Linked DNA regions of Ovis aries. The protein of the gene in region 3 binds, or shares a complex with, the protein of the main gene of each other region. Links are inferred from orthologs where the notes say so. Each region holds a gene or a part of one and is shown on either strand. Other genes may lie near its edges.

Evidence for each region.
Region 1: IGF2BP1 (region 3) and ELAVL4 share a complex: the UniProt entries of both Homo sapiens proteins name them as parts of the TAU mRNP complex. The link is inferred for Ovis aries from reciprocal best matches to the Homo sapiens genes IGF2BP1 and ELAVL4.
Region 2: IGF2BP1 (region 3) and DHX9 share a complex: the UniProt entries of both Homo sapiens proteins name them as parts of the coding region determinant (CRD)-mediated complex. The link is inferred for Ovis aries from reciprocal best matches to the Homo sapiens genes IGF2BP1 and DHX9.

What each region holds. Positions count from the first base shown.
Region 1 is NC_056054.1:24,708,209-24,711,853, reverse strand, and holds part of ELAVL4 (ELAV-like protein 4), read right to left. Parts: intron 1,869-3,645; coding exon 1,643-1,868; intron 1-1,642. UniProt on the Homo sapiens protein: RNA-binding protein that is involved in the post-transcriptional regulation of mRNAs. Plays a role in the regulation of mRNA stability, alternative splicing and translation.
Region 2 is NC_056065.1:63,343,480-63,347,861, forward strand, and holds the start of DHX9 (ATP-dependent RNA helicase A), read left to right. Parts: upstream 1-1,493; 5' UTR 1,494-1,615; intron 1,616-4,382. UniProt on the Homo sapiens protein: Multifunctional ATP-dependent nucleic acid helicase that unwinds DNA and RNA in a 3' to 5' direction and that plays important roles in many processes, such as DNA replication, transcriptional activation, post-transcriptional RNA regulation, mRNA translation and RNA-mediated gene silencing.
Region 3 is NC_056064.1:37,251,116-37,254,760, reverse strand, and holds part of IGF2BP1 (insulin-like growth factor 2 mRNA-binding protein 1), read left to right. Parts: intron 1-200; coding exon 201-320; intron 321-1,123; coding exon 1,124-1,198; intron 1,199-1,908; coding exon 1,909-2,040; intron 2,041-2,461; coding exon 2,462-2,689; 3' UTR 2,690-3,645. UniProt on the Homo sapiens protein: RNA-binding factor that recruits target transcripts to cytoplasmic protein-RNA complexes (mRNPs). This transcript 'caging' into mRNPs allows mRNA transport and transient storage.

The DNA.
Region 1 (3,645 bases), on a different chromosome or scaffold from region 3:
GCAAAGAGAAGGAGGGTCTCTGGGTTAATGCCTCACAGATGGCAAGATCGCTCAATGGAACTATTAATAAGAATGCTCCATTTTCAAAGAAGAAAAGCTCAAAAACTTTCCCCAGCGCTCGGGAGCCTATCCACTGGTAGTTTCCCCTTTTCCTACCTAAAGTAATTCATGTTGAGGTCAATGTTAGAGTTTAAAGCAAGTGTCTAAATGAACCTTCCTTTATTTCAAGGTCTAAATTAATCTCACTCCCCTCCCCTCCATCTCTTAGAACATGTGTGGATATTATTTATGTTGTGTGTGAAATTTTTAAAAAAGGGACTGATGGCTTCTTATGTTGTTCACCTTTTATTTTAATGAAATTTGTGAATAAAGGTCTCTGTGATGGATTAACAATACATGCACACACATCATGCCTATCAGAATGGATTTTTCTTAGTAGCCTGACTACTTTAACTAAATCTTCTTACCACACACATTTTTGGGCAGGAGAGAGGGTTCAGAGTTTTTTATTTATTTTTTAAACCAGCTTACTATTTACAACCTGAGAGCACCTCCCAGCAAATTGCCATTTTGTTACAATCTCCTTCATGTTCAGTATCTTACTCAGGGACAAGCTTTTCACATCATGGGGCAGTAGTAACCATAGTTTCCACCATTAGAAGCCTGCTGGAAAGGCTTTTTACATAAATACTGCATGTGCTCTCACACAAAATAAAAATTAAATGACTTGGACTCTTCATGAAATCATTAACCGTTTCATATTCAGGGGGCATGGGAGGACACTCGGAGGCTGATTTTTCTCCTCTTTGTGGCCAGATGGAAGGGCCTACTATCCATGTGATGTTTGAAAAAGAGAAAGACCCTTTCATCAAAGGGAAGTTAGGGCATGGGTCGACTAAAATAATTATTTAGAATTATTGTGGGTAGGTTAACAATATTCTTATCTCTTGTACAGTAGAGACTGGTCAATGTCAGATTGCCTTCATGGAGAGATATCTGCCTTTTAGAAATGTCTCAGGAGAAGCAGACATCCCACTGCACCTGGAGCTTCCTAGGGGTTGGGTACCTCAGGGAAATGCTAATAAGGCTTGGACAAAGCCTTCCTCCTTGTCTTCCCAAAGTCTGCTGACTTGATGTCAGAGAGAAGTTAACACAGAAGAGCAGATCTCCCCACTCAACCCAATAGAAGCACCGGCAAGAGAAAGAGGAGAGCAGACCATACCACTCCCTTTGGCAAGGACATGCCTCCTGGGCTACTCTTTTCTTTGACTTCATTAAAAGTCATTCACTGCCTTAGCCTTAAGTCTAAACTGCTGAATGTAGTCCCTTATCTGTGATGAACTCCTGTTGAAACTGAACCTTCTTACCTGGTTAAATGTAGAAATTTGTTTCAATCAAAGAATCTGAAGTTTAGTCACAGTCATGTGCTAGTTTGAAAGTCATGTGCTAGTTAGAAGAGCCTCCTGGCCCCGTCATCACGTTTTACAGCAGTGGAAACTGAGGTTCAGGGGGAGTGTCCCGCAGTGATTCCAGGGGGCAGATGTCCTCACTCAGCCACATCCTTCAGGGCCAAGGGCTTCCCTGGCTCTTGCCCAACTCTGTACTCGTGTAATAGGGCTCTTGCGCCTGCGGGTGCACCTACCTGAACCTCTGAGCCTGGTGGTGAAGTGGGCCAGGGTAGCGCCGGTTGGGGGACTGGTAGAGCTGGGAGAGCAGGGCCTGGCTGGACTTCTGGCTGGGGTTGTTGGCAAACTTCACAGTAATCGGTTCCGTAGCACCGCTGGGCTTCTGGCCATTCAGGCCTTTGATTGCTTCTTCTGCCTCAATCCTCTTATCAAATCGGATGAATCCCACCCCTCTGGACACTCCTGGGGAAAGAGAAAGCCTTTGTAAACAGTGAACAAACCAAACTGGTAAAGATCCCCAGGAAGTTATGGGCGAGTCCCATTGCTGTTTCTAGGGAGTCAGCCCACTTGTGGGGCCAGGGCTGAGCCTGGCTTCCTGAATCTCTCTCACCCATCAAAATGCATCTGCCTGCCTTTTTTGCTATCATGGCTCTGGGCTGGCAATTCCTGCCTATAGAACACAGGCATATTTCACATCTGTCCCTTCCTGCCTTCCTCCACCATCCTGCTCAGCCCTCAAGCCTTCCTTTAGTTGCTGTAACTGATCATCTGCTGTCCAGTTTCTAGCCCCTCAATGTGCCCTCCATACCTGGCAACTAAGTAATCCATTTGAAAGCAAACTCTGACCATATGATACCCTTTAAAAACACCATTTATACCTTTTTGTACCTTTTCTGTTTTTTACCCTGTGAATGTACCTGTTCCTCATTGTTCCCTACTCCAATGGCAGAAAAACAAATGAACAAAACCCATAAAAAACCCTTCCATGGCTCCAGGTGGCATACAGAGGAATTCCAGACTTGTTGGCATGGCATTTAATGCCCCTGATGATCTGGTCCCAACTCCCTGTTGAACCTCATGTAAGCCAAGCTAACTGCCAGACAGTCCTTGAATAGGCTGTGTTCCTCCTCGACTCCGTGCCTTTGGGTATGTTCTATCACCTATTCTATGGGATATATCCTATCCACCTAGAATGTTCTATCTTTCTTTCCCACTGGACAGCTTCAAGTCATTCTCTAAAACTCTGTTCAAACACCATCCCCTTGATGGAGACTTCCTGAGCTCTCCTGGGGCGCTGGGCAGCTCTAGCTGGTACTCATCACACTGTGGTCTTGTAAGGATGGGGCTGTGACACCTTTGTCCCTGATCTCTGGTGTCCCTCTGCATAGCATCTGGGGCAGAGCTGCCTTCAGTGAGGTTTGTTGCAATAATCAGATGATAAATACACGCTAAACGACTCTCTTGGTGGCCCAGATGGTAAAGAATTTGCATGCAATGCAGGAGACCTGGGTAGGATCCCTGGGTCGGAAAGATCCCTTGGAGAAAGGAATGGCAACTCACTGCAGTATTTTAGTCTGGAGAATTCCATGGACAGAGGAGCCTGGTGGGCTACAGTCCATGGGGTAACAAAAAGTCAGACATGACTGAATGACTAACACTCTCACTTTCAAATGACTCTCAGGGGGTGTTTTTAATTAGAGTAGGTGGAAACCTTCTGTCATCAAAAATGCAACCTGGGTGCCTTTCTTACTGAGAGTTGGTGGCAGCTGCTTTTCTTTATGATAGCCCAAGTACCACAGGATCCAATCCTAGGTTATCCCTGCACTGCTACTAACTGGACAGGTGTCCCACTTTGGACCTCTGTTCTCTTACCTGTGAAATGAGCCAGTTTCAGTTTCCCTTTAACTCTACAGTGCTATCAGAGCAGCCAGAGCTATACACAGAGGTTCTTTTCACATGCAAAAGTAATGTTGTTTGGTTGAGGGTTGAAAGAAACTTTGAAGGTCATTCAGCCCCACTCCCAGCCTGATGGCTGAATCCTCATTACAACTCTGCCAAGTAGTTTAGCTGCTGCTGGAACCATTCCCATGATGGAGCCCTTCTACTTCCCAGGATGGCCCATTTTAAATTTCAGCAGTTGATTGATAAAAAGTCTTTCTTTTAAGTCAAAAAGCTGTCTACTTGTGACCCATATCCATTTCCCTAAGTGACCATTACCCCTCTGCTCCGGTGGGTCACA
Region 2 (4,382 bases), on a different chromosome or scaffold from region 3:
TGTTTTCAGTTGAAGACAGCAAACCCATGAGGAAAATAAGATTGAGTAAATGCTGTGTTATTCTAATCATAGGAGAAATACTAAAACAAGGGACTAACCACAATGAGCTAGAAGAGTTAGGGAAAAAAACTTAGCGAAAGAGGTGAAAAATAAGGATGGTAGGTATGATGGGGTCAGATAATTGATTAGTCTGGATTCTCTGGAACAATCCCAACTTGAAATATTCTGTACTATTGACTCTGTGGGAAGCACTAGAGTTCAAAAATTTAAGTGACTACTACAATAGTTAACAATACAAATTATTTCAAAGACTGAAGACAAAAGGATATCCAATTTGAGCAAAAACAACCTTACAGTTTTTAATCTATTCATTTTAGTAAGCATGTGATATGTACCCCAGTTGTAGCAGGGAAAAACCAGTTCTGACTCCACTTTGGAACTATCTGACTGACTTTTAGTTTTTTGTTATTATAATCATACATAATGGCCTGCCTGAGAGAATCTTGCCCCTCTGCCTGTTAAAGTGTCTTTGTTCAGACCCCGGTCCATCTGTAGATGGCAGGAAGGAAGAAATGAACACATCTCTGTTTGAGGCTTCTCTTTCTAGGAGATAGTTGCAAGATTAATGGCCTTTCTATTTTCTTTCTTCACCTCCCCCAATCTGGAGTCATTTGTCTGCCATCTTCTTGGCCAGTCAGCTCTCTGAACATAAAGTCATATTCCTTGCTTCAAGCTCGCCCCTCTGATTCATTGGCCTGTCCATGTAGCAGGCAGAGTACGCTTGGACTCCGTTAACACAGAGAGTGGCCTGAGTGAGCCAGGCAGAGTTCCTGCCTTCATTGAGATTATTTCTCTCAGGAGACATTCCTGTTAAGAGTATTTTAATCACTACAACAGTATCTGTTGAACACCTACTGTGTGTCAGGAACACACAATAAGCCCACTTCACATGGTGTCTAGTTTAACTACCCTAACAAGCCTCTGAGGTCTTCCCCGGTGGCTCACCAGGTAAAGAGCTCGCCTGGCAATGCAGGCGACACCGGTTCCATCCCTGGGTCGGGAGAAGGAAATGCAACCCACTCCAGTATTCTGGCCTGGGAAACCCCATGGACAGAGGAGCTTGGCGGGCAGACAAGACTTAGGAGCTAAAACAAAAACCCTATAAAGTTAGCACCTAACATTTCAGTTCTGTCTTGGAAGGGCACCTCATCTACCACAGGTCCCTATGACAAAAGCTGCAAAACATTTTGATGCATTAAAATGCTACCGGGTCCCCCAAGTCGCCCAAACTTTCAAACGCTACACAAGGAAGTCAGGCCGGGACCGCGGGCGCCATTGGCAGCCCCATCTCCCGGGCGACCAGAAACTAACGGCCGCTACGTAGCCGCAGCCCCGCCCTTCCCTCACGGCGGCCTGGGCCGCCCGCCCCGCCCCCCAGCTCGCTTTCTGCGCATGCGCAGAGCGCTGGCCCCGCCCCCTGGCGCCGCGATCGCAGCCATTTCGCAGCCGCTTTCTTGCAAGTTGCGGTTTGCTCTCCGGTGTCCGTCGCTAAAAGCCCGTGCTACGGACGGTCCTAAGAGGGCTGTGCTCTCGGGCACCAGGAAAGCAGAAGAGGGTAAGGGGAAAACGGCCTTGTGGTTTTCCTTGGGCCGGCGTGGGCCCCGCGGCTCTGCAGCAGGGCTTTGTTCGGTGGCGCGGGCGGTGGCGGGTTGGGGTGGGGGTGGGGAGCCGCCTCGCCGGGTTCCCGGATTGCGGGCTGCGTGCTGCCCGCCGCGCTGCGCTGCCCGTGAGGTCGGGGGAGCCCCGTTGTTGCCCTGCTTGTTCGCACACCCTTTCCCGGCCCGGTCTGCTTAACGGCCAGGCCGCACTTCCTCCTCCGGCCTAGCGCGGCGGCGCGGCTCTCGCCGCAGAGGGAAAGGTGTGTGGGGGCGGGGTGAGTCGTCCTGTGGGGCTGAGCCCGCCGAGGCCCCGCGCTCGCCTTAGGGCCCTTCGGTCGTTCAAGACGCACAGAACGGGCTGTTGTTTCGGGGGCGCTGTTCTGCGGCCGCTGTAGACAGAGAGTAAAGGGCTGAGGCAGCGTCCCGGCCCTTCCTTTCCAGGGGTTGGGGTTGGGGGAGAGGGAGGCAGTCGGAAAACAGGCGTCTGCAGGTTTCCGTCAAGAGGTGGCGAGGAATTAGTGTAAAGGGAGAGAGCCACTTGAGATCGGGTGGCGAGGGCAGGCGTCCCGGAGGAGGTAGTAGACCTTTGAACTGTCGGCCGCGGGGCGGAGGATGCGTCAGCGGCGGAGGAGGGGGCAGAACCGCAGAGGCCGAAGGGAGTAGTGAGTGTTAACAGGCAGGCGTTGGAAACTGAAAGAAGGCCATGTGACTGGAGTGTGGTGAGAATTTAAGGGAAGCAAGGATTCGGGGGTAGCTAGAGTGGAGGAAGTGGGAATCGTTGAGGACGTCATTCCCGCACTCCAGGTGTGCAGAGTGATAGCAGGGAGATGGGACACCTGCCTTGGAGGCAGAAGTGGGCAGTGGATGAGCAGTGGCCTACCTGGCTGGAAATTCTGGGTCCCCCAGTTAGGAGCTCTGTCTCTTGGGGCAGGTTATTCTTGACTTAGTTTACTCATCTGTAAAAAGGAAATAATAATAATGCTTTTTGCACAGTGTTGTAAAGGTTAAGTAAAATAGTTCACGTAGGTGCTCCTTTAAGGATACTGACGGGTACATAACAAGGGATGGCTATAGAGGATCTTCAGGGACTGGGTAGATCCCACACCGTGAGTAACTTGGTGAATGGTGGTGCCATTTGGGGAGATGGGAAAACTGGGCTTGGGAGGAAGAAGAACAGGTTTGGGGAAGAAATTTAAAGTTTTGTATTGACTGAGATGCCAAGGTAGCATCCAAATGGGTCTGTTAGATGAATTTGGTTTGGGAGGTTAAAAAGACTATAAATGTTTAGTATATATTTGGTTATCATTATGATATAGTTGGTGTTTAATATTATGGAGTTAGATGAGACTACCGAGGGAAGAAGGAATTTGATAGTGTAGTCCTTCATATTCCATGTTAACTCGTTCACCTTGAGGGCTTGTTTTTTAAATTGATTATTCATGGTTGCAATTTGTAGATAGATATCCTTAGCTTTCCACAGCTTTTCGTTAATTGGGTGTCTCCAGGGTTAACTTAGTTGGCAGACAAAGGTCCGCATCATCAAAGTTTGGTTTTTCCAGTAGTCAGTTGCAGACATGAGAGTTGGATCATAAAGAAGGGTGTGGGTGTATTTGTGGGGTGTGGGTGTGTGTTAGTCACTCAGTCGTGTCCCAACTCTTTGTGACCCCATGGACTGTAGCCCACCAGGCTCCTCTGTCCATGGAATTATTCTCCAGGCAAGAATACTAGAGTGGGTTGCCATTTCCTTCTGCAGGGGATCTTGCCCACCCAGGGCTTGAACCTGGGTCTCCTGCATTACAGGCAGATTCTTTACTGTCAGAGTCCCAAGGAATTGATGCTTTCAGATTGTGGTGCTGGAGAAGACTCTGGAGAGTCCCTAGGAGTGCAAGGAGATTTGCATCCTAAAGGAAATCAAGTATGAATATTTATTGGAAGGGCTGAAGTTGAAGCTCCAGTAGTTTGGCCATCTAAGAGCTGACTCATTGGAAAAGACCCTGATGCTGGGAAAGATTGAAGGCAAAAGGAGAATGGGGCTGCAGAGGATGAGATGGTTGGATGGCATCACTGACTCAATGGATTTGAGTTTGAGCAAACTCCGGGAGATAGTGGAGGACTGTCTGCCTGGTTTGCTGCAGTCCATGGGGTCTAAAAGAGTCCGACATGACTTAGCAACTGAACAACAACAGGGTGACTGACTACAAAATAAACTTTATACTAAGTCCAGTTTGATGACACAAGACTTAGGTGCTAACAAAATACACTGAGCATCACCAGAAGACAGACTTTTTGGAGTTTCCTCTCACATCACAGCAAATTGAATTTGTAGTGTATTTTCTCTGGTTCTAAATTTAGTCCCAGATACTTAGCTAGTAATTTAAATTCAGATTTTAGACCTAGGCTGAATATCTTTTGCTATCTTATAGAGGGAGTAGAGGGAGAATGCTAACAAGTGCAATATGTTGTTTTTCAAGAAGATGTAATATTTCCAAATTTTAATGAATATCAAGGCCTAAAGATTTGGTATAATATATTTAGGTTCATTAATTATTTTAAGTACTGATTAATTTATGTATTTGGACTTACTAACAATATATTGCTTGCAGCTTTGAGGACCGTCTGCTAGGAGACAGTGCGAATGAGGGTAAACTATTGGATTTATATACGAAATAATTGATGACCATTTCTTAATATAGTAGTTTGGGTTTGAACTTGGGCCTCCACAGT
Region 3 (3,645 bases):
TGGGAGCACTCTTCGTCTTCTTCTGGTCCAGCTTCTTTTGTTTGTCCCTGTGGGGCCTTGGGAGAGCTGCAGAGCAGGTCGCCCAGGCTGGTGTCTGGGTGCTGCACCCCTTCTTGACAGTGCAGGGCAGGGCCATGGAGGGGCTTCCGGGCTGTGCCCCTTGATGCGAGCTGCACTAATGACATGTCCTGTCTTGGCAGCAGGCTCCAGAGCAGGAGATGGTGCAGGTGTTCATTCCTGCCCAGGCGGTGGGCGCCATCATCGGCAAGAAGGGGCAGCACATTAAACAGCTCTCCCGCTTCGCCAGCGCCTCCATCAAGGTGACCAGCTCTGTTCTCTTCTGGTTCCCGGGGTGGGGGTGGCGGCTCTCTGCTCCCATCTCCCTCTCCTTTGGTTCTCAGACACCCCATCTGCCTAGCGTTAGGGCTCTCTCCTGTGGGCTCCCAGTTCCTTTTGCTTTCGACTTCACTTTCAGACTAAGGGAGGAAGTGGTATCGTAGCACAGGAGAGCTTCAGTTCAGGCAAGACTGACTGGGTTCAATCCCAGTTTTTGAGCTGTAGTACCTGAGCCTTCATTTCCCCGTCAGTATAGTAGTGATGAGAATAATCTGAGATGATGCAGCCAAAGCCCCCAGCTCAGTGCTTGGTGCACAGTGGTTGCTTGGTAAATTTTAGCTGTTTCCACCTTCCCTGGTCAGGGAGAACCTGTCACAGTGAACGAATACTTTGTTAAATTTCACAAGTCTAAAGCCATTGGTTTTAGTGGTCTGCAAGGTTTTGGTCAGATGGAGTCTATGTTCTCTGGTGAATAAGGGCTCCCAGAGATTCTCTAGGAGATCAGTCCGTTCCCTTCTACTGCCCCCACCACCAGTGGTCCTTCTTGGCAGGACTCAACTGAACCCCTCTGGGCGGTGAGCAGGGAGGTCCTACTTAGAAAACGTCAAGAAACAAATGCGCTTGTGCCCTCGTAAGAGTTTTGACACAGGGCCAATAGCCTTGGGTCTGGGGTGTTTGTTCTTCACTCTCTAGGCCATCAGAAGTGGGAAGTCGAAGCAGGGTGTTGGTAGGGTTCTGGAGGAGAGGGCGATAGAGTGCTTATCTGTGACCACTGTTTGCTTTGTAGATTGCTCCTCCTGAAACTCCAGACTCCAAAGTTCGTATGGTCATCATCACTGGACCCCCAGAAGCCCAATTCAAGGTTCTGATCTTTATTGTTTTTTCGAGTAGGACCCACCCAGGGGAACCAAGTTTGCGTGGGAGTGCAAATCTGCATCAGATTTTAAGCTTCCCTGTAAATTCGGGGCTGCACAGCTGCTTTCAGACTGACATCCAACTTGCATTCTTTTGCCTTCCCTCTCTGCTTCCTGAGAGTGGATAGGCACACAGGAAAAAAGGCCCTCTCCTTGCCCTCTGCTGTAGTGACTAAGGAAGGCTCTTCTCTCCTTTATGTCCTTGCTGCGTTCCTAGGTTCTCGGACTTCTGACAGCCAGCCAAAGAGCTAAGAAAGTCACTTGCTCTGATCTAGGGAGGGATGGAGAATGGGGACAGCCCTAGGCTGTGTACAGTGACCAGCAGCCTGCCACTGAGTGACTCCTCCACTTGCCACTCAGGGCTTGACTTGCCATTCACTGCTTGTCCGAGTCCACGCAAGCCTCCCAGACCCCTCAGGTCTGGTTTGTGGTTTAGGTACTGTATTCGTCTGGGGAGTTACGTATTCATATTCAGTTACTTTGCCCAGGCCTCCCAGTGTTAGAAGTGAGCAGGAGTGTTGACAGGTCAGTGCTGTGGACCCTTCGCGCTGCCTGTCCGAGGCGGTGATCTGCCCCTCACGAGGGAGTGGGGCGTGGGGCGCTTCCGTCTGTCATGTATACCTGTATTGCCAACATAACAGTGACCTCCTTTTCTCAGGCTCAGGGAAGAATTTATGGAAAACTCAAGGAGGAGAACTTCTTTGGTCCCAAGGAAGAAGTAAAGCTGGAGACCCATATCCGGGTGCCAGCGTCAGCAGCCGGCCGGGTCATTGGCAAAGGTGGCAAGACGGTGAGCCATGAGGGTCAGGTCGGAAGCTCTGGATGTTAGTCCCTGAGCCTGACAGCTCTGCCCTGGCCCCCACTTCCCCAGGCTGAGTGACCTCTGAGTGTGAGTCACTTGGTTGTGTCTGACTCTTTGCAACATGGACTGTAGCCTGCCGGGCTCCTCTGTCCGTGAGATTCTCCAGGCAAGCATGCTGGCGTGGGCGGCCATCCCCTTCTCCAGGGGCTCTTCCAGGTCTGCTCAGCCTTAGTTCTTGCACTTTGCCCCTTTACTTGATTCTGCTCTCCAAGCTCAGCTCCTGAATCCTCCAGTTTCTACCAGCTAGTGACTAAACTTCTTGCCCCTTCCTCCACTGCCATCCACGTTTGACACTGTCAGCACTCAAGCGCCTCTCTGACCTGTCCTCTGCCCTCACCCCTGCCCCCAGGTGAACGAGCTGCAAAATTTGACAGCAGCTGAGGTGGTGGTGCCAAGAGACCAGACCCCTGATGAGAACGACCAGGTCATCGTCAAGATCATTGGGCATTTCTATGCCAGCCAGGTACATGTGGCACTCCCCCGTCACAGGAGGGTGGCAGGAACCTGGGGATCAGAGGAGCGGGACTCTGCCTGCCTCTGGCCTGGGTCACTCTTCTCTTCCAGGTGTAGGGTGTGATGTGTAGATGTCTTATTCCCTCTTAAGACTGTAGGAACAGTGATTTGACTGTTTTCGTAGGTATGTTATGTACAGTAACTATTAATGTTACATGTCGTATGTTATATGTTGATAGTCTTTGCTGTCGTCTAACCACGTGGTCCTTCTCTTTTGCACTGGAGAAGAGAGATGGGTCTTAGCGCTGCCCAGTCTGGTTTGTGGGGTGACACCATGGGTTGCCCTTTTCCAGGGCATTTCCTTCACCTTTCCCAGAACCACTGCTCCATCCTTGCTTCCAGTCCTTCCAGCTTCCTGGTCTCGTCCTGGCACCCACCATCCGTTTCTGTGCTGCTTCCAGTGAGCCCGGCAGCAGTGCCCAGCGTTGTGACCCCAGAGTCTAGAAAGGAGGGCAGGTATCAGATTCACATTACAGGATGACTGAAACTAGTGGGGTTTTCCTAAGACCCCCGATTGTTGGAGCTAGAAGGCTGTGAAGGCTATTGGATACCACCCCTTTCATTCCCAGAGGATAAGCTTGTTAACAGGTTTGTGGCCCACCTGAGGCTGCTCATGAAATCAAGGGCCAAACAGGAACCCAGACCCCAGCGTGGTGTGGTAACTTTCTCTGACAGTCCTTTGGGAGCCATTAATAGAAACCTATATTCAGGTCAGGAAGCAACAGTTAGAACTAGACATGGAACAACAGACTGGTTCCAAATAGGAAAAGGAGTACGTCAAGGCTGTCTTGTCACCCTGCTTATTTAACTTATATGCAGAGTACATCATGAGAAATGCTGGGCTGGAAGAAGCACAAGCTGGAATTAAGATTGCTGGGAGAAATATCAATAACCTCAGATATGCAGATGACACCACCCTTATTGCAGAAAGTGAAGAGGAGCTAAAAAGCCTTTTGATGAAAGTGAAAGAGGAAAGTGAAAAAGTTGGCTTAAAGCTCAACATTCAGAAAACGAAGATTA